Linked DNA regions of Lepisosteus oculatus. The protein of the gene in region 1 purifies or fractionates together with the protein of each later gene. This does not show direct contact. Links are inferred from orthologs where the notes say so. Each region holds a gene or a part of one and is shown on either strand. Other genes may lie near its edges.

The links. The genes of interacting proteins can lie anywhere in the genome.
Region 2: the proteins of rnf111 (region 1) and smad2 purify together in Homo sapiens (affinity purification with western blotting, with the first as the bait; 3 studies listed by BioGRID). This does not show direct contact. The link is inferred for Lepisosteus oculatus from reciprocal best matches to the Homo sapiens genes RNF111 and SMAD2.
Region 3: the proteins of rnf111 (region 1) and skila purify together in Homo sapiens (affinity purification with western blotting; 3 studies listed by BioGRID). This does not show direct contact. The link is inferred for Lepisosteus oculatus from reciprocal best matches to the Homo sapiens genes RNF111 and SKIL.

The regions. Positions count from the first base shown.
Region 1 is NC_090700.1:46,404,597-46,411,622, reverse strand, and holds the start of rnf111 (E3 ubiquitin-protein ligase Arkadia), read right to left. Parts: upstream 3,016-7,026; 5' UTR 2,586-3,015; intron 1-2,585. Other genes in the region: sltm (SAFB-like transcription modulator), read left to right, coding at 4,487-4,621, 5,912-5,999, 6,134-6,189. UniProt on the Homo sapiens protein: E3 ubiquitin-protein ligase. Required for mesoderm patterning during embryonic development. Acts as an enhancer of the transcriptional responses of the SMAD2/SMAD3 effectors, which are activated downstream of BMP.
Region 2 is NC_090698.1:17,846,505-17,853,693, forward strand, and holds the start of smad2 (mothers against decapentaplegic homolog 2), read right to left. Parts: upstream 3,007-7,189; 5' UTR 2,988-3,006; intron 2,982-2,987; exon of another isoform or gene 2,580-2,981; 5' UTR 2,443-2,579; intron 1-2,442. UniProt on the Homo sapiens protein: Receptor-regulated SMAD (R-SMAD) that is an intracellular signal transducer and transcriptional modulator activated by TGF-beta (transforming growth factor) and activin type 1 receptor kinases.
Region 3 is NC_090708.1:13,841,519-13,849,154, forward strand, and holds the start of skila (ski-like protein), read right to left. Parts: upstream 3,007-7,636; 5' UTR 2,709-3,006; intron 2,699-2,708; exon of another isoform or gene 2,592-2,698; intron 2,553-2,591; exon of another isoform or gene 2,098-2,552; intron 1,620-2,097; 5' UTR 1,492-1,619; intron 1,062-1,491; 5' UTR 909-1,061; coding exon 1-908. UniProt on the Homo sapiens protein: May have regulatory role in cell division or differentiation in response to extracellular signals.

The DNA.
Region 1 (7,026 bases):
TGACAATGCAAGAGCCAAGACCACTCCATTCATTTTCAGACTCGGGATCCTGGCAAGACTAAGAACTTTTTGTGTGTGCAGAAATATCGCAAGTCACAACTGCAGCGAGCTCACATGTGCGTGGTAAAGAGACTTGCCAGAATGATCCAGAATGAAAAACCAAGTACTGATGAGGACAGAAACTCAGCACATGCCTTAACTCACTTATGCTGAAATTCAGGGTCAAGATAATAAACAAATGGTGATCTTCATCCTAAATAGGCTTCCTCTTAATGATGCCATTTAGTGTATTCATAATTGACTAATGAAATCCGGCTTACAGTATCGATAAATGGACATTGTATAAGATAAACACCAGTTTCCCCAATTACAAAGCTGTTGATTTCATATTCTTTACATTCTTCCATTAATTCAATTCTAACACAGCTGGGATCCTCAAACCACAAGGTACACAGACCTGCCTTATGGTGTCTTCTAGCTGGACCAAGCTTTGCAACGGAGGTGACACCAAGAACAAACACCAACTCCTATTGTGACAAGTGCACAAATATTTGATACAAACCACCTATGGTTCCATACAGGCTATGAAGGGTGCTTTGGCAGTGTGTGTAAACAGGTAGAGTGCAATCCTTGTGTTAGTAATGTTTTTCACCTTCACCAGACAGCAGTACAAAGAGAGAAACTGGCACTGGTTCTGGTGAACACCAATGTTAGCGTCCAGTGTGAATGGTGCCACAAAGCAAGAACATGCAGAACCTGTTACGATACAAATTATAATACACCCTCTACTTTCTCTTTCTCTGCGTTTTCCACCTTGCTAAATATAGTGATGCATGATGACATCTTTAGCCTGTTTTGCTAGGAGTGTTATCTAACCACATTTAAAGTTTCTAAAATAGAAGAGGCACTGTTGACATACATCAAGATAAACTAGAGGTGCTAATCTTGGATACAGCTATAGGTATACCAGTGACCACATTAAAATACTGAACTGTTTAAAAATAGAAAATAAAGCATCACACATATGACACAAGCAAGAATCCAGGGCCCCTGAAGACATTATTTGGAAAAAGGTTGCTCTATGACAGAAAACGTAACAACTGTGTCATTGCTCACTTATAAAAGAGCTATCTGTATCATAATTAAACTAAAACTAAGTCTGGAAGATCAAAATGTAAGTAAGGGCCTATATACTCTGAATATATTCTCAACATTTGTTCTGCTAGGTATGGTTCCCGGGCAATTTTTCAAATATGTGAAAAGTGGGGTCTTAACAGGCAAAGGTTACACAAGAGAAAACAAACTTTTCAAGTTTTGGCCGTAAACCTTTGCTTCTAAGTGGTTAAAATGAAAGCCCTGGGGTATCTGTGTGTCCCAGCTTGCACACACTGCTCCCCAGAGCAGCCAGTCACCGCCAGCCGCTGTCTGTTTGTACCTTATGGGTGTATACTTTATACTTAGTTCTCCTACGGGATAGAACATAGATGTTCACGTTGAGAAACGGAACAAAAAATGTATTACTCGATTTCTTTTAGAGGAAATGGCTTCAGAGTCACACACCCAGTGGATATGCAGGCGGTTCTAAGATTCACTTGGTACTTTCTTCACAAATCACATTAAAAAAAACAAACAAACATTGCGCCGAATATAAAAAGCTTCAGATCTGCACCAAGTACATCTCGGCGTGAACTGTACGAGATAAAATGAAGGTTAACGTGCTCTGCACCTCTTTAAAACTTCGGTATTTGATCATGCGCTTTCTTCCATTGTTATATGACTATTACTTAGGATCAATAGCCGAAGCTGAAGGAAAGACAATTCAATACTAGCTTTAGAACGAAGAAGTGGAAACGAAAAGGGAAGATTGAGCAGGGCGATTTCTTTAAAATATCACGATGGGACACGCTAGTGTCTACGCTTTCCACACCGAGCAGTTTACAATGCCAAGACTATAGATGACATTCGAAACTGTCTTATAGAAGTGGGGACATTTTTCTCGCTGGATTTTTAACTGTCTGTATTACTCTCTTAAAGGAGAAAGGAACAATAACTGGGTTGCAAGGGGCAGGACATGTCCAGAGCGAGCTCGGACCAGCTAACTCCGTGTACAAACATTTCGCTTGGATTAATGCAATCAATTGTATATTAGCATTTAACATCCAAATGATTGTCTAAAGCTCAACGACCATGCCTAAGTGAACAATTTATCAACGCAACATCGAGCACATCACAACAAAAACCTACGTTCTGCCTTACCCAAGATTTCCCATCTGTCACTGTCAATAGCCCGAACCGAAAAAGGAGGGGGGCAGGGGCACTGCGTATGAAAATACTCTAAATTAAAACTATCACACAAAAAAAGGCGATAAAAGGGCACAAGTCAGGAATTCAACTCGCTGGTTCTCCTTTTCAGACGAGTTTAATTCTGAATCCGGTTTATTCAATAGTCGTATACCCACCCACCCCCTTCTCCATTTCCCCAGGCGAAGTCAGAAGCCATTTGAATTAGCACTCTGATCCGAAATAGCTCGTCGTACTGATCAAGTACTGCCACTACTGAACGTTAAGGAGAAATAAAAACGTACCTTTCACGCCAACAGGCCCCAAACTCGACACTGCTCTCCAACGGATTCCGTTTCTGACGAAAACCTTCAGCGAGGACCTGAAAATGAGGGCAGCCCACTGAAAATAAAATAGCGTAGAGAAACCCTCGGACGTCAGCAGCGCCTGGTTGTGAAAGTGATAACACAAACCCAACAACAGCCCCAAAGGCCCCGATACTGTAACTGGGGGAGATCTAGTTAAATTCGCCTTTTTTCTCCTTCAACCGCCCAGTCCCCGGCTATCAACTGAGGCCGGGATTCATTTAAGGTTTCGAGAAAGGCGGAAAACCTTTCCTTTTGCCATTTGGGCCCTCGATAAAGCAGTCATTCCTGCCTCGCTTGGGCTGTTGTTTATTCAGGCGAGCTCCTCTTCGTAGCTGCGCTTGCCTGATCTGTTTTCTGCACAATCCCCCGGAGCCTCGCTTCAGCGAGGGACGCTTCACGACACTTTTCGACACTGTAGAGGCTGTTTACGGCATGCCCTTTCCTGGGCAAGGGGTCTTCGAAACATGAGGCGCTGTGCCCACTAGTGGTCGTTTGTGGCAAGTGTTTTGTACTAGAACCTATGCAAATGTAAGATAAGCGACACGATTGTATGTAAATAGAAAGCTGGTATTATATACTGAATATGGACTTCTTGAATATTTTTTGTAGGTAGATTAAATTTACGTCCGAAATAACTACATTTTCTTAATTATATAATTTACATATATAATTTTATTTGGTGACATTTTTGTAAAGCAACAATCACATTTTTGAATAGATTTTGTAAAAAGACAGTTCACATTTGGAAAATCTGTCTAATCACGTTGTCGAAGCTGGACCACTAGGACTAGGACATCTTGTATGTGTAAGCTGATAACCCAAAAAGCACGATATACCAAAAGGTGACCTTTCTTTCATAAGCCTCTTTCATTTCGATATCTCTGTAATAAGAATTTCCACTTGTTTTCGCAATTCCAAAAGCCCACACATGTTGGTACAGAAATATGCTAATGTCGACGGACAAAGGCTTTAAAAGCAAACTGTAATGGAAATTGTCTTCACAGATTTTAAAATCTTTGACTAAAATATCCAAAATAATTGTCCACTGTACATTATATAATTGTGAATGCGAAGAATTCATACACTGCTTTATGATAGAGATACAGAAGCGACACATCCGATTATCTTTATTTAATGTTGCAAGCAAGTTAATTCAGCTCTGGTTAGGCATGTTCTTTAATATTTAATATTAAAAGCATTGGGGAGACCACAAGTGTACAGTATGAATAAGTGAATTTCGACGTGAAAACAGGTGACAGATCTTTAGACAAAGAGCTGGGGATGTGCACGCTGTCACAGTATAGGACCTGATTTACAGGGGTGCTCCAGAAAAGCTAGAATATCCTCAGTACGTAGTAACCAAATTATCAAAATGTTAGAAATACCTTATTCCAATTTGGATGCTTTGTTATTAAAAAAAAACATTACACATATTTTAGTCGTTCTAAATAATCTTATTATTTTTAAACTTTTTTGTCTCACGATTTTCTAAGATCCGATTTAATAATGTTTAATTATTTTAAAAGTAAACGTCTATATAATCCGAAGAATGAGGTTGGTCTATTTTCTAGCATAACATACCTATACATTTTATTAATTATAAATCGCAAAACTGCCTAATTTATTTTCTTCCTTCTTTTCTCTAATATACTGTGTGAACACGGATTTCAGAGGTCAAAAGTGGAATAATACGTTGACAAAATTCATTTCTGAAATTCTAACCAAATCCTACAGAAAAAAAATACTTACGTCATCACGTTGTACGCGTCGTCAACATCCGGGAACTGGCGGTGTTTCCATAACCATAAACACCTTCCTTTCTCATTCAGTTTGGCAAAATGGCGTCGGCAGCCGTGGCCACTGAGATTAAGAAAATCACAGAATTACGGGTCATAGACCTTAAAACCGAGTTAAAGCGGAGGAATTTGGACATCACGGGAGTAAAGAACGTCTTAATTGCAAGGCTGAAGCAGGTAAGCCTGTATTATCAGCGGCCTTAAAATCTTGTTGTGTTTTTTTCTGCAGAGAAGGCCTTGTTTTCCCCTCCCACCATGCATACTTAGTTGCTGGATATCAAGTGTGTGGATGTTTGTCACTTTCGCTTTCCAATTTCTGTAGATATAGAAACACGGTGGAGTTTTGCAAATAATAAAAACGATACGGTCATACTCTATTGAACGACAATAAGAAAGCTTTGTGTATTCTTCATATGCGCAAAAATTGGCTGTTTTATTACTATAGAATAGACCTGTAAGTGGTAGGCGCGAATGAATTAATAGTCGTTTTCAAGTGAGATCAATAATATTGACAAAAACATTCCCCTTTTCCTTCGGATAATGTGTGGCTTTCTTAAATTTTGGAAAAACCTAAGTAAGAAGACAAACGCCCGGTTATCTCATCTAGCCAGGTTTGATTGGATGCTGGGGTGCAAATTGAGCCGAGGTACAAGTTCGTTTTAATGAACGTCCCTTTTTGTTATACGGTCGACTTCTACATAGCTTCGTTTACACTCGGTAGTGTTTTTTTTCCTGATCAACCAGGTAAAGAAATGGCGAGGTCCTTTATAATGACGGTGTGGAGGGTATACAGCTATTCTGGAGCGATTTGAGTCAAGCACGCTTAGGGAAGTCGAACCCGGGTTTTGCAATAAGGATCCCAGGACTCTCGGCGTCCATAGTCCTACATAACTGCAGATGCGTTATTTAAAGCCAGATATTCACCTTTAGGTGTTCTGTGTTGGTATGTATGACGCAGCAGTGAATGTCGTCCCTGTCCCAGATTGTGGTAAAAGAAGAAAATGGGGGTGTCATTCCTAAAGGACTGGCGAAGGTACAGCATGCAGTTACTTGATGTTACAGAAATCAAGTGTCTTGTGTTGTTCAACAATGGAGACATTATTTTGATTTGCGTATTTGAAACTGCAGATTTATTATGAGGTTTGGTTTTTAGGGAAAGACTGGTCTTATTGGTGTGAGTTGTTGCTGCCAGCTTGGCTTAATCTCTTCTCAGTATCCTCTGTGTATGCTGGTGCCTTGGCTGTTTTGAGGTGGTGTCCTGCAGTTGTTACTCGTTATCACGGAGGTCAAAGGGGTTAAAATAAATAAACTTTGTTGCCCGGCATTTGCAATAAGGAGACCCCCTTTTGCCTGTTCCTTGAAAATCCTTTTTTTAAAGGGTTGCATTGTGATTTGGTAGTGTTCTGCAGGTATTTGTGAGAGGGTGCAATTTATTCATACTGAATCATTGTCATGTTTACTTTTCAGGCTATTGAAGAGGAAGGTGGCGATTCCGATAATATCGAAATTCCACTGAACGCAGATACCCCCACAAGGAAGAATGCGAAGTCAAAAGGTAAATGGTTGTGGTTGTTGAAATCGCATCTGGCTTCTTCTTTCTACATTAAAATATTTAAATTTGAGAATCTGTTAACTTTAGAAATCAAGAAACTTGTGTGTGAAGTTCACTGAATATAATTCTTCATTTAGGAAGAAAACTGGATGCAGACATGGACGCAAACCTGGAAGAAGATTCTTATTGCAAGGTACGTATCATCACTGTTGAATTTTTTTTTAACTTTCAAATACATTGGACTGATCTTGTCGGATCTTGCATATCACAAGTTACACACAGACAAGGGTATGATCAGCAGGTGTTGGTAGAACTGTTGGCACTATTATCCCTTTGCCAGAATTTCAACATCAACTTGACTGGTCCAGCGTTCCGGTACAATCAGTTTATTCTACATTTGTGTGAGCTCACTAAATCAATATTCTTATAACCCTTTTAACCAGTTGTGATATAGCTATACCACACTCATAAAATCTAGAGGAGTAAAAGGGCTGTTAGTGGTTGTTTGCTTTGACTAGATGTGAGGGTGAATTATATCTGTTAAAGAAGATTACTTATAATGGTCATAATTGACTCTCCGCTTAATAGATTTTGGATTTAACAGACAAACTGCTAAAGGGAGTTTTGCAAAATCAAGAATATGGAACTTTCCCCGCAATAATGTAAAACTGTAGTGAGTTCAGCCGACATGCTTGGTTTATTCTTATAACTAGAAAAAAATAGAAAACATGAAAGTACAAATGCGTTGTAAAATCTGTTTAATGTAAAATACTGTTAAAGTACATATGCAGAACAAAGATTTCATCACAGACATTGAATAAAAGTCTATTTTATTACAGTGCAATACTTTATTCATGTACGAAAAACCAATGTACTACCAATGTGTATTCCCACAAGGAGAACTAGAATGCGATGAATGTGTAAGTGGTCTCGGTAAAATGCAAAAATAGTAAAACAAAAACTTTTGTACGACATACATAGGTTTTTATATAGGTTTAAAGGGTATGAATACCAGTACTTTGGTAAGCCT
Region 2 (7,189 bases), on another chromosome or scaffold:
GACTCCTTATTAATAAAACACAGGCATTTTCAGGATGAAGGCCTGCAACAGAAAAGGTTTGGTTTTTTTTTACTTGGCCGATTTGAGAGGTTGAAAAAAGTATAAATGCAGAAATAAGTACACTCAAGCCAACATTAAGCGAATGCTTCATGCACTTATTATAAAGAAACTGTCTAATACATGCCTTGTAAACTTACACTGTTAGAAACTGCAAACAGAAAGACTCAAATTGTTTAGAGTTTGTTATGCTGACTATATAACAGGTAGGCCTAATCATTAATAAAAAGGCTATGTTGTCGGTGTTCACAAAAGCACTCTTTTTCATATTCAACTCATTCCCCCCTTGTGTAAACGATCCCCAGACGTTTTTACCATACATACTGTACTAGAGCATGATGTAAACCACAACATCCTAGCCGTTATGAACAGTTAAGTACTTAGCAGTCAGCAGAAAGAAATATTGTACGAAAGACAAGATTTGATGTCGTGCAGACATCATCATGGATCCTTTCCAGCAACAATCATGGAACATGACAACTTAAAAGTGAGCACACCTCAACCAAAGATGTGAGAGACTCAAGCACATTAATTAAACAGCTGCTGCAACACTTGCTAATGGGCATCAATTTCTAGAACCCACCTTTAATTACTATTAAGAGTTTGAAGGCAACAAATATTGATGATTATGGCGATATCAAAATTTTTCCGTTCAGCAAAACAATCACTTCCAGTTCAGCAGTTTCTAAAGAGACCCCTGGAAGTGCTGGACTGGGAACAGTCACTTCACTTCAAATCCACACAAATCATTACAGAAGGATTTACAATACTAGACACCAATTTTAGGAAAACCAACTATCTGAACTCATAAATTAACGGGCAACACTTTATCAGGGACAGATGACAACCACCCCCACCACCACAAAAAAATCCAAATTGAGAATTTTTTAATCGTTTAAAAAATATGCATCAAAATGTTTTCCAGCATTATAATGGGATTTCCACCTCTTTGCACATGCGGTAGTGTATACAGAAATGGTAATAAACGTGCCTTTAACTTTCACTATGGTTATTTCAAACACAGACTGAAGTTGACACTTTGCATTGCAGTGTTTTTTTCTTCTGACGTGTGGAGTTAAAGTAGAAAGCAAAAAGACTTCAAGAGAGAGCAAGAATAATCCAGTACGTTAAGAGACTGTTATTTAAAGCCGAAAATCTTGTCACAAAAACGATTTCAGGCAGCACTTATAAGAATCGATTTCTGCGGCGGCTGCAAAGGAAGACAATGAGTAATAAACGTAAAAATATGGTGAAGAAGCAAGCGCATCATAGGAATTGTAGCATAAACATATTATTTTAAATTTTACAAGACGTGAAACCTTCAACCAAACCCAAAAGGCGTCGCACTGTTAAGTGTTAAAAACAAGATACCCCACTAATTTAATGTGGGCGAAGCTAATCAAACTATTTTCCAAACAGAAGCCATCGAGAAAGAATTTAAAAAGAAATGTATTTTAAGAAACGTTGATAAAATATCTCAGCCAGCCTCTACAGCTTTATTTAAACTTTTGAGAGGTAAGTGACAACCCCAAGCCTGTGTACAAAAGACGTGCGCAATCGTTTTCACCTAGGGCTTGCAAACATGGGCATTACATATTCGATTATATGTGTTACATATTCGAAGTTACCAAATTACAAAGCCTAAAATTAAATGCACTCGAAAAAAAAAACAGAATTCGCGAGTTATGAACAAAGAAATCCTCACATTCACGCCCTACAAAATGTTTCTGTACCATTTTCCGGTACTGGAAGCTAGTCCTAATCGACACCTGAGGAATCTCGTTGAACTTAATATAGCCCTTTTTACCTCACAAGTAAAGATGACAAGTCATCCAAACTAAAAGACTGAAATCACTTCATGATCATTAGATCAGGATTTTGTGATCTAAATGTTTTAAAATTAAGATACTCCATCTGATCGATTAAATGAACAAACTTGCAAAAACTGATTGCCCTCGCTTATGGACACTAAAGTACCCTAGGGCTCCTTACCAGATACAGAAATACGAAGACAGCTCCAGGGAATCAAAATACGTGAAAAGTTTTTGCCCATCTCTCTCCCCCACACAATTTTTCAGCAACAATTGCCGTTACGTAACACCCATCGTCACATATTCACAAAGCCAAAGCCCCGAGCATGGACTTCGAAAACCAAAAATACCTTGGAAAAAAATAAGAGAACCGGTCTCTGGGCGGATTTCCAAGAAACAAAAAAGCCCCAACTACAGTTACATCTCAAGTGAAGCGAAACAGATCGAAAAAGTATCACATCGAGCATGCAACACAGGCCAGGCCGTCGCTAAAGTACATCAGCTAACATCGCTGCACTAACAATCCATGGACTGCTAGGAGAAAACACACACACACACACTGAAAAAAACTCACCTCGAAAGATTTTAAGTACAGTGTTGCTGATCAACGCTCAGGTTCCACTTTGCTGAAGTGCTGAAGCCGCTGACGAAAATCTTGATCTTGCACGGGCTGTCCGATGCAGCCCAGCGACCCCGCAGCCACTAACTGAGCTACAATGAAACAATAAAACCCAGGATCGTCGCCGATGTTTATCCACAAAACAACCAGATAAGGCTATATCCCTGGCAGGAATCTCAGTTCATATTCGGCAGGCTGTCAGCGGGGTTTTTTTCCGTTTTCAGGCTAGCCAGCGAATTAAAATCCCGGGGAATATTTAGGGTTACTTTAGGTGACAGAAAAATAAACAGGATTTTAAAACATGTTTCCAACCCGCCCTTCTTTATCTCAAGCAAAATACTCTTACTTCCTTTCAAGCAGTATCATGCGAAAGGGGACTAGAGGCTCAAACGATTAATTAAAATAACGTTTGCTTTAAATATTTTTTTTTACAGATCTATAAATTATTTTTTCCAGCGAGTTTTTTCCCCCTTCTCCCCCAGTCGCCCCGACACACTCACAGACGAACGGCCTCGCACTCAACAACCTATCTATCCCCACGGTTAGCTACGCGACAGCTTCCCGAGATTAAACCCGCCTTTTAACCTCCTATTGGGTGGTAGTGTAGATCGAAGAGCGTAGCTCAGAATACATCATGCTCGCGATTGGTTAAAGGAAGTGTCAACCATACATCGTCATGCGCAAGCAGGAACTAATAGTTACGTACACCCCATATATATTTTTATTCGCCGAAACGCTCTGTCAATAGAGCGTCTAGATTACATCCAGAGATTCAATTGGGAATTCTACTGTCAATCAAATGACTTCATAATAGATTTGGCTCAGAGGAGGGGTGGGGATTAGGAGGCTGGTGCGTTAGCTGAATCGTCTCAAAACATTTGTGTTGCTGTACCGCTATTGTGTTCCTCCGCCAAAGCAGATGAAGACAAAGTAGAGCTCTCTTTCAGGATGTGGAAGTTTTAGTAAGAAAGAGGGAGGACACGTGCGCGTGGATTATGCGTTATGGAGAAAGGCTGAAGTCTTGTGTGGTGTCATGGCAGGACTGAAATATTTATTGTTGGTTCTGTGCTGCAGTAGTTACATAATTCATCACATAACCCCGTGCACAATCACTGTCCAAAAACATGTGGCACCTTTTTAGATGGATTTATACATGCAAACTATTGGTAAACAAGGTACTGTTGAAATTGACCTTAGTTTTTCTACGTGTTTTCATTTGCGTTGCTGTGGGTTTAAGAACAGCATGTTGACAAATCTTAAAATTGTCAGATGAATTATGTTTTAAGTATAAAAAACAAAATGTAATACATAATGACAAAAGCGGTTTCATATCGCCATAGTTACATAAAGAACTTTTACTTTTCTATACATTTGATTTTGCATTACACCAGAAACGCTGCAGGTCAGGTTAACTAAGTTGGGCACTTGTATGTTAGGAAATCCAGCTCCTTAGCTTTACGATACCTAATAACAGAATAATTCAAATATTTTCCGCTCATTTTTAATAACCGAACCGATGGTAAAAAAGTCAATCAAGTAATATGTCATCGCTTTCCAAAAATATATATGGTAACCCAAAAATTAACGAGGCTTTACAATGAAGTAAAACGAAGTAATCAAACTTTCGTGCAAATCTAAATATGCTGCAACAGGCTGTGTAGAAAATGTATGAATTCTGCTTTTTACCTTTTTTTCTTGTTCCGAGAGACACTCATAGAAGAGCTGAGACGGAGCACTTTGAGAGACTGTATCTTTCTAGATAGTATCGGGGCCCGAAAGGTATTTCTGTTCCTTTTGTTGTATTCTTCACTCGAAACTGAAAAGCAGCATCTCCTTAGGATCAGCGTGTAGATCCACCTTTATCCAAAGCAGCTTGCAGAGGCCAAAGTTATTGTGTGAACGACTGTCCTGCGAGAAATAATGAATTATTGGTATTAATTCCCCAAGAGCAAAGCAAAGGGACGTTAAAATAAGCTTCTATAAAATCTATCTTCTCTTTTAGCACCTTCCATGCAGTCCTGTGGCTGAGACTAGATGCCCGATTAATGTTTTGATAGCTTTTGTGAAAAAAAAGAAGGAATTTGATAGTGGAACTAACTTTTTTATTTTCAGGCATCGGTACAGCTATGTAATTCTAGCAGGTGGCTGTTGGTGAGTGTAGCTTTTTGCCAACTTGGGAAAGAAACAAGGGAAACAGATTTAAAAAGATTTGAACATTGTAGAGACAGACGGAAACACACTGCGCACTCTAGCTGTGGCTGAATATAGTCTGTGTTGAGTATAAAGTGACAGGAGGTCATATGAGTGTCAGAAATAAAAAAAAACATTTTGCTGTCTTCGGGATGCTGGATTTTTATATTTTATGTTGAATACACTGTTGTCAAAAAGAGACTGTTGTTGGAAAAAGTTTGATACAATGCTATTAAAGTTCTGTATTTTATTTTTCCCTGTGACTCTACCTGCAAAACAGAGAATAACAAAACAGGAATGTAAACGAAAAAAAATCTTGCAAAGCACAAAGGAAGCTCAATTGGTGAGAAAAGAACCAAGAAGAAAAGTGCAGTTGTATAAATTGCACCATTAAGATAATTATTTCTATTTTTATAATGCTTAGAACTGAAAAACAACACTAATAGCACTCCGGAGCACTGTTATGTAAGTGCTGTTCTCAGGGGGACCTTTCGAACCACTTAAGTACTGTAAAAAAGTGTTACTCTAGTCCTTCTTAGTAGATATCCAATTAAACTGAATAGTTTGTAGGAAGACAGCTAATTTGGATAAAAAATAGAAGCCCATTCATGGAAGAAAAATAATGTTCTTAATTTTCTGCAGCCTCAGTATATTTTAATTTAATTTCTTGTTTTCCCTGGCCTTGGGCCCTGGGGATGTTCCTGATACTGGAAGCCCTGTTGTACATCCAACTCCATTTGACACTACTTAAGTACAGAAGCCTCAGCTCTGAACTTGCCTTTAACCCCAGCGATGGATAGGTGTGGCCCTACTGGGTTTCATTCAGCCTGATCTCTAAGCCCATTGAGATAATTGAACACTTTTCCTGGGTCTTCAGAACAGTAGCTGGTTTAAAAGAGGTTCATTTAACATTCTGGAATGTGGCCTTTGAGGGAAGTCAAAGCTTAGGGTGTCTCTGTGGTGACAATGGCACCATGAGCTCAAACTGCTGATGGTACTGCATGCCTTCCAGCTTACAGCCTCAAAATGCACATTTAGATTTGACCACTCAAAAGTTTTTTGATAAGGAAAATTCTAAGTCGGGGTCCACTTTAATTTTACTGGGACAGTGACTTATTATCAGCCTCCTTGTTAAAATGTATAGGGTGAAGAAGGATGTCCCTAATTCTGTATAAGATCAGTTATATATAAACAGTATCCACAATATCAGGCCAAACATTTCAGGATCCTATTGATCAATTCAATCATTACAACAGCTATCCCAGAGACACGTGGTGTTAAACCTGAATGTGACACAGCCAGTGGTGAGTGTTTTTGTTGTTATCCATAGGCACTAATTCCTCCTCAAGGCACGTGTCATCTTGTAAGTATTGATCCATTCATTTCTTAATTAAAACAGTTAATTAAAACATAAGGATATGTGAAACATTTTTTCATATTTTCTATGGCTCTCTAGTTCCGGTTTCCAAATATCCTGTGTGATATGTGTTTTATTCAGTCAGTAGTATACTGTCAGCAGCCGTATCACCCTGTGACTCACAACTGGCAACCCACTGAAGCTGAGCAGGTGTGAACCTGGTTAGTACCTGGATGGGAGACCTCCTGGGAAAAACTAAGATTGCTGCTCGGAAGAGGTGTTAGTGGGGCTAGTAGGGACACTCACCCTGCAGTCTGTGTGGGTCCTAATGCCCCAGTGTAGTGACGGGGACACTATACTGTAAAAAAGGTGCTGTCCTTCAGATGAGAGGTAAAACCAAGGTCTTGACTCTTTGTAGTCATTAAAAATCCCAGGGTGTTTCTTGAAAAGAGTAGGGGTATAACCCCGGTGTCCTGGCCAGAGTTCCCATTCGCCCTTACCAATCCCCATCTATAAATAGGCTTCATTACTCTGCTCTCCTCCCCATTGATAGCTGATGTGTGGGGAGTGTTCTGGCGCACTATGGCTGCCTCCGCATCATCCAGGTGGATTCTGCACATTGGTGGTGGTGGAGGGGAATCCCCATTACCTGTAAAGCGCTTTGAGTGGAATGTCCAGAAAAGCGGTATAGTAAGCAATTATTAGTATTATTATTTTCATCCTTAGTTATATTTCATAGGCTTTGTAGTTGTTAGATATACTTTCGGTATGTCAGGAAAAAGACCTGTAAAGAGTTGCCTGTGACCACTTCTGTAACAAGGACTTTCAAGCATACAGAAGGTATATAGTTGGTAGATCAGAGATGATCAAAAATTAAGTTTTGGGGCTTAGGTGCTTTTTCGTGTTTCGTTGTACCGAGTTGGAAACAGTTGCAAACTGCGTTAATGCCGATGCTGAACACCAGATGGCGCCATTATGCGTCTTTATCTGAAAATTAATTTTGGCCTTATGGTAAACATCTTATTACTGGTTAGCATGTGGAATGTCATCTGCCTTAGAGGCAACATCCATGTGTAATTAAGACTTGTATAAAATCTCAATGGTTAGTTTTTGAGGGGAATAAGAAGAACGGTTGTGGTTTTGCTATTGTTTTAA
Region 3 (7,636 bases), on another chromosome or scaffold:
AACATCAGCTGGCACTCGGCGCACTGGATGCACGGCGCGTCGGGCTGAGTGTAGAACCGCGGCACAAACAGGCCCCGGCACTTCCCCAGGCACTCGTGCTCCACCGCGAAGCTGCCCTCGCCCTCCTCCGGCAGGGCCTTGCCCCCCAGCTTGCAGGAGCCCTGCAGGGGCGCGCCGGGGCGCAACAGGGCGTTGCACAGTCTCTGGGCGTCCGTCAGCGTGATCAGGCCGCAGGAGGGCGCGTTGAAAGGCAGGATGCCCAGCACCTTCAGGATGTGCAGCTGGTCGGCGTTGCAGCGGGAGCAGTAGATGTACAGCTCGTCGCAGACCAGGTTGATCTGCTGGAGGGAGAAGTCCCGCAGGACGGAATTGAGCACCTGCGGGAGACACAGCCTCTTCTCGCCGCCCACCACGAAGCAAGAGATGGACTCGCCCTCCAGCAGAGAGTGAGTGAGCTCGGTGGAACTGTCACAGGGGATCAGGAGCGGGCCAGGCAACGCTGGCGGAGAAGGAAGGGGGACAAAGACACTGGGCGACTCCTGGGGGTTGCGTGCAGAAAACGCAGCTGGCCCACCCAGGGAGCTCTGGCTGCTGAGGTGGAACTGGGCCAGCGTGTGCTTGAGGCCCGGACTGAGGTCCAGGGCCTTTGATGGTGGAACGGGCAGCTGCCTGCCCTGTCTCTCCCTCTCGCAGACAGCTGCTTCCCCGGGGTCCTCCGTGTGTTCCTGCTTGACTTTTGGCATTCTGGGGACTCCTTCCAGAGTCCGGCGTTTCAGATGTATTTCTGCCACCACCCTCTTTTTAATAGGGGCGTCTTCCAGTCTCTCTCTGCACAGCCGCTTCATGCTTCCTTTGAGTAAGGCCACGTCTTTTAAAGTGTGTTTCAAAGTGGTCGGCGTGCCAGCCATGCCTTTCCTTTGAGTTTTTGTTGTTATTGTTGGCGTGTGTCTTTATTTTTTGTTCCTGAAAGGATGTGCTCCTTAACATTCACGGCAATCGTAGATTATCATCTTTCCTTTTACATACATGTTTGTGATGGACTGCACACTTGTATACTAATCCTAAAAAAAACAACCAAGAAGAACAGTCATCTTAATCCTTTTAGGCATAATACAAAATGTTACACCAGACATTCTTTTCAGCCTGTGTCTTACATGTTGGTATAAATCTTATTTCAAGCTCTTCTCCATATTAAAAGAACAACCAGGTATATTTGCACTTATTAGGAAAAATGCAGTCTTTTACAGACTGGTGCGTACAGAACCACAGTTTCTAATGAGACGTGACAGGGTCCAATATGTATGGAATTACAAAACATACAATAATAAAATAAGTTTCTTAAATTAGACAGTGGCGTTTAAATGCTCAAAGTAACAGAAGGGGGAGTGTTATACAGATCATATGATACAGGTAAAGAAAAAATAAATAGATACAAATTATGACCCAACTAAAAATTCTCTCAAAGGTAAAGGATGAAGATGTCTAACTTACACAAGCCTTGAATTCCAGTATCGTCTCAGTTCCGCTTAGATCCAGTCAGGTTCAACTGAAGCACCGCCGACAGCATTGACCTTCTCCGATATGCACCAGATGGTTCGGATGTAGAGCAAAGTATAAAGCTGCAATCGAGGTAAAAAAAAACAAACATGTATCCACTGTAGCGCAATAACAACGACAGTCCGTGCGGCAGAGTGAATCCCCAATTCAGTCGACCAGAAGCAGGCTACCCCTCGAGTCCCGGCCGATGTTTCAGCGTGAGCTAGTCGCGGTGATGCCGCGTCCACAAGGGCTGGCTGATGACTAAACGGCACAGTACGCTGGTTCACCCGATATCTTAACGGTTCGTCCCAAATTCGCCCAAACGCCGCTTTCTCCTCCTAGCGGATAGTCACCGCTCCGCCCGGTCCCCCTGTCCGCTCTGCAGTGTGCTCGGACACCGATGGTTTTCAAGCGCAGCGCTCAGCGTTGTTGTGGCGGCTGCTGTATCTTGACATTTCGTTACTCTGCTCCGGGTGCACCCCCCCCCCCCCCTCCCTCCTTTCCTAGCAAGGACAGCGTACACACGACTCTCACTCACTCGCTTTTCTCCCCACCTACCTCTCTTTCCTTTATTTCCTCCACTATGTTGTGCCACCGGCTCGCCTGTGTAGTGTTCATGACATTCACTGTATCGTACACCTTTCACGGGACTCTCTTCCTGCCTCTCACCCCCACCCCCCACACACACGCTACCGCACAGCCAAACCCTTGGTGCCCCCGTCCTAAACCGAGTATATCCCCGAACAGAGGAAGGGCAATCCTTGAATAATCAGAATTGCACTCGTCGACCAGAAAACGCGTTTTAGAAATAATACTTAGCTAACAGATACCCCGATACAGAGGGGAAATACCTTACTGTGCTTCAGTTGCTACTTTTATTTCGTGTTTTTTTAAACGCAATATTTTTTTTTTTTTGGTGTGTGTGTGTGGCTAAGAACAGCAACCCAAAACAAATTAACAGCGTCAGCGAAGCGACCTCCCTTGATAGCATGCGTGCAATAAAACTGTATCGCCCCAGTGCAAACTGGTCAATTCACTCGCTAGCTACACACCTTCAGCTCCCATACCTTGCCATCAGTACAGTACAGCATGCTGTTTACAGGGTAAACGTGCGATTTTCTTTTCGTGGAGGGGAGTGGTACAGAGGCCCGGTGACAGTGACTAATTACCGTGTGTAAATCCTGGTCGCCCGCGTGTAACCTTCTTTTTTGTGTGTGAAAAAAATCCACCTCTCTCGCCTCTCCTCCCTCCTCTTCTCCGTGTCCCCTCGCTCCGTGCCCGACCGTCAACAAAATGCAAGCAGCCAGACACATCACTACACACAGACTCACCACGTCACTCCACAACCCAACAGGCTACGTCACCCGGCTGCTCGGAGCACACGGGCTTGTCACGGAAAAACGAGACGTGGGTGTCTGTCTCGCAGTCTGGGCTTGTGTTTGTTTCTGCAGTCGGGCACACGGCCCAGCCTGCGATGTCACCACCAGCCGCCTGTAACTCCGTTGACGCCTGAGGCGATGGTGCCGTTTCGGTTGCTACGACAAACGCGTTACTTGAAACGGAAAGAAGAAAATGTTCTCGACAGAAAAGTCTCAGGAAACGCTAACTCCCCTTCTCACACAGACAAATCTCCATTGAAGTCCCGTTTCTTTGATTTTTTTCTTTCTTTTTCGTATTTTATTTCCTTTGTCTCAATTATATGAATATCTGCATTTAATTGTCTTTCAACCCGTACCGATTGTCTCAGTGTAAACTGTTTAATGATGAACTATATATATATATCTTTATGCATAATTTGACTGTAATCGTCCTTCCATACACGGTCAGTTTACCATTGTAGAGCAGGGCGATTAAAATCACTGTAGAAATACGTATTAAATTATTGTCAAGGAGACATTTAAATCTCAAGGTTTATAATGTATATTACGTGATAGTACTATTGTAATAATCAACAATTTCAGTTTATCGGCATATTGATCTAAAATTGTAAACGACAAAAGAGTTCTGTTTTTCTGACATGAAAAAAAATTCTCGGAACAAAACTAAAAGCCTTACTTAAGGCTTACTTAAATCTAAATCTGGTCAAATGTGTGTTTAACTGCAGCCTACTCTGTTCCCACGGAAACTCCAGACACGGAACAGTTCACTGTGGTGACAGATATGTAGTATTCGTGTAACTTTCTGCTTTAGATGTCAAGAGATTGCCTGTTTCCAGGAAATAAAACGGTAAAAAACACTACTCCTCTTGCCATTTCAGGCAAAATATAACGCTTCCAGCTAAAGAGCCGGACACAGCGCATTACATTACGAGAGATGTCTGAAGTGTCTGAAGAATAAAACATGTACAACATATTTCATTACATCAGGTGATAGTTTTATTTTCACTGCTTCTGATGACATCCTTCTTAGAACGGACTTAATACACACTAAGTTACTTTCAATATACATACATATTTACGATATGAACTCCTAGCAGGAAGCATTAGTGCATATTTGCAACGATTTATTATTCATGGACTGTGTCAGATCTCATCTGGTGCCTAGACAATTAAGGGATATTACATTTCCCTCTGTCAAGGTCAGTGCTCAGTGAATTGAGTGTTGTTAGAATATTAACATTATATTATTTACTTTGGCAGATGAAATGGCAAGGCGTTTTTGGTGTGTGCATCGGTGAAGAGTTTAACCGAGAAAAGACCAAAACCAGAGGTTCGTGAATGTTAATGTGAATTTACATATTCCTAGTAATTAGAAAAAAAATAAACAAAAAAGTCAATTCAACGCTGATAATACACCCGTGTCTCATCCACACAATTCTTTTTCAGAATGTGAGCAGGGTCAAATCTAAGGGTGTACTGTATCCACCAACCAGATGTAAAAAATAAATTCCCAGTAGGTGATGGCAATTTTTTGCTTGAGAAAGCTTCTTGTCTTCACCGATGAAAAAACGCAAATGTATAATTTTAATTTATGTCCGACTTCTGTTCTCACGGAACCTTGATACAAATAAGGCTTTGACTGTTCAAGAAAAGGCAGGCAGAAACAACGTTTGAAAGGAAAATGGGAAACTGTGAAGAAGTGTTCAGAACACATAGATATGTAAAAATGTCTAATGAAACATACGTGTTGTGCATTAGCTAAACATAAAAAAAACAGTTGTGTTTGAGAGCTTACTTCATCTCCACTATAAAATCAAAGTTTATTGACAGGATAAAACCCCTTGAGTTGCACCATGTCCTTTTCAAGGGGGCCCTGTTAGAATATACACTGTACATAAAATAGTGGGAGCAACAGTATTATGGACTCGTTACAATTCAGAGATACTGGAAAATGTCTGTTTTACTCACCAGAAATCAACACAGATCTTTTTTTTATTCGAATGAATTGTCTTTTCGAATAGCTAGTACTTACCGTAATTGATCAAGCACGGTTGCAGAATAAATCATTCCACAAGGTTCACGACTGGGTATACAGCGTAATACTTTTGTGGTGCGAAAATAAAATAATTGTTTATGAAATATTAGATTTTTGCCTCAAAGGCCTGGGAACATGCGCACAAAAATTTGTCGCTGTTGTCTGACAAATATTTTATCGTCTGCAAGCGACGATATTGTTTACCATTAACTATTCCTAAGAAAAATGATTCATAATACTTAGCTATTCGCTTCTATGTGACCCTGGCCTCTCCTCTATACAGATCTAGATTTTCAAATTACTCAGTCTGAAAAACTTTAAATCTTTGTGACTCACAACCTTGCTATGGGCAGTGTTACTATGTGCTGTGTGAAGGACAAAATTAAGGAATGTTGAGTTTGCTTCCAGCAATAGTGATTCACGGTTTGGTGGCTTGGGCAGGAGTTTTAAATATAAAACTGACTTAAACAGCATGAATGTTCTGGTTTAAATATTTAAAAACCGTGTCATACAGCGATTTACTTATCAAGACCAACTTACGGGTATGCGACTCCAAAATTCTGTCAAGTGTAAAAACCGCGTCATGGATTTCGTTATACTCAACGGATTTTGGGAATCCCCGTTTTAAATCCTGGCGCCGAAGAACTTCCTGTCTTCTATTTAAAAGGAAATTGTTAATGACAATGTACTATCCCGAAACGTTTGTGTTAAAGGGAAGAAAAAAAATACAAGCAGTTTTCTTTATCAAAATAAATCTTAGTTCAGGCTGGTCACTGCAAATTATTAGTCGGTGATTTTAATTTTATTGCCATTGGCTCCTCCGAGACTCTAATTGCACCCTCAAAAAGTGACTTTTATCAAGTGTCGTATATACATGTTATGGGATAGCAAACATAAATTGTGTATATTTGAAAAGATGGTAATGAAAATTGGTAATGGCAAAGTGGGTTTAAAATAACAAAAACTGGCCTTTTATTTTATTTTTAAATATTTTGTATTCAAATCGTGTTTCTTTCTTACAAGAACAGTTTTCAAGGTAGTAACCTACTGTACTGTCACTTGAAGATGAAGTAGTACGTGTCCATGTAGGAACGTTACAAATAAATTATGAATAATACTGTTGCCAAATCGAGCTTTTATGCAATATAAATGGAAGCAAATAATGGTAACATTTTTAAAAATGACAAAGCTTTAACCACGGATTGAGAATACATAATAAAAAATGTTGGAAACCTTACTGAACTGTAATTAATATGCATAGTAAATCAATGTTTTACCCCATCCATACTCCTTGGCATGCAATGGATTTTCACCAGGAAGACGCGAGTTTGTTTGAATGCTTAATTAATCCTCTAAGGGTACCACCTCCAGATAGACTTCTGCAATTAAAGAGTGAGTGTGTTCAGATCTTCTGCCCTTCAGATCATTAACACAGACCCTCAAGGTTATACAGGTTTTGTGGCTGGTGATTGTTTTGTGAGGAGTCAGAGACATTTGCTAGATGGGTCACAGGAAAGGTCGGTTTTCCATCTGCCCCTCATCACCCAAATGTTCAATGTCTGAATTATACTTTATCCAACCTGTGTTAACTGCTGTGGCTCATTAAAGAGCTCTGCCCATCCAGCCTCTGAGCACCTTTGTCATGAGACTGCTGATAAACATGAAGTGCAGAATTGTGGAAGTAAGGATATTTGTTAATTTGTTATCTGGGGGTAATCTGACATTTTACCTGTGCCGTTCTGGCTCTGCGGCTGGAATGGCCTATGTTACAGGTCCTGAGAATCCATCACCATCTAACTTCATATCTACCGCTACTTTGAATAACAGTAGAAACCCCCAATTTGTCAATTATCTGCCACAGCTCTCCAGGGTATGAGATAGCTCCCTTGAAGTTCTACATTCAGAACTGCCTTTTTTTAAATACAGAATATTGTAGTGGTTCAATTTTGTTCTTAACATAGTGATGTACAGTATATCACACTTATTTCACAAGAACATTGCTATTAGAAATGCAAAGGTATAATGAAAAAGGGCACTGGAAATCACTGTGAGATATACTCATGGGGAAAAAATCAGAACTTGTTATCATGCAGGGAAGGTGACTTGAAAAGTATTTTGTTTCCTCACCTTAATGATTTAGAATTCAGGGCATGTCAATGAGAATGAAAGAGGTATAGTGGTAAAAGATAAAGCCTTGGTACTTAGTCTTATACAGCAGCAACATAAATGTGCAAACTAGACTTTCTTCATTCTTTAACACTATTTTGAATAGATCAAACAGCAAAGATGCCTCCTGCGTTGAATACTTACAATTCACCCCTTAACAAGTGTTTTCAATTTAAAATGGCACAGAGGCCAAAAAAACAAAACAAACTTGATGCTTTTAAGGAAGCAAAAAAAATGTATTTGGCATTGATGATATTGTACAGCACCATTTCCACAGCCTAATTTACAGACATACAAAAACATATTGATGCATTAATTTATTACTCAGATCATCATAAGCCATGGCCATTGCGGTTTTGGTTTCTACGGAGATGCCCACTTTCCCCATTACCTGTCTTTCTACCAGTTTCCTGGAGGACATACAAATATCTGTTATTCATTTTCACTTTGATAAAAAAAAACAGATACATTGCTTTTGTATAATGTACTTTTTCATTTAATTAATATTGTTTAATTA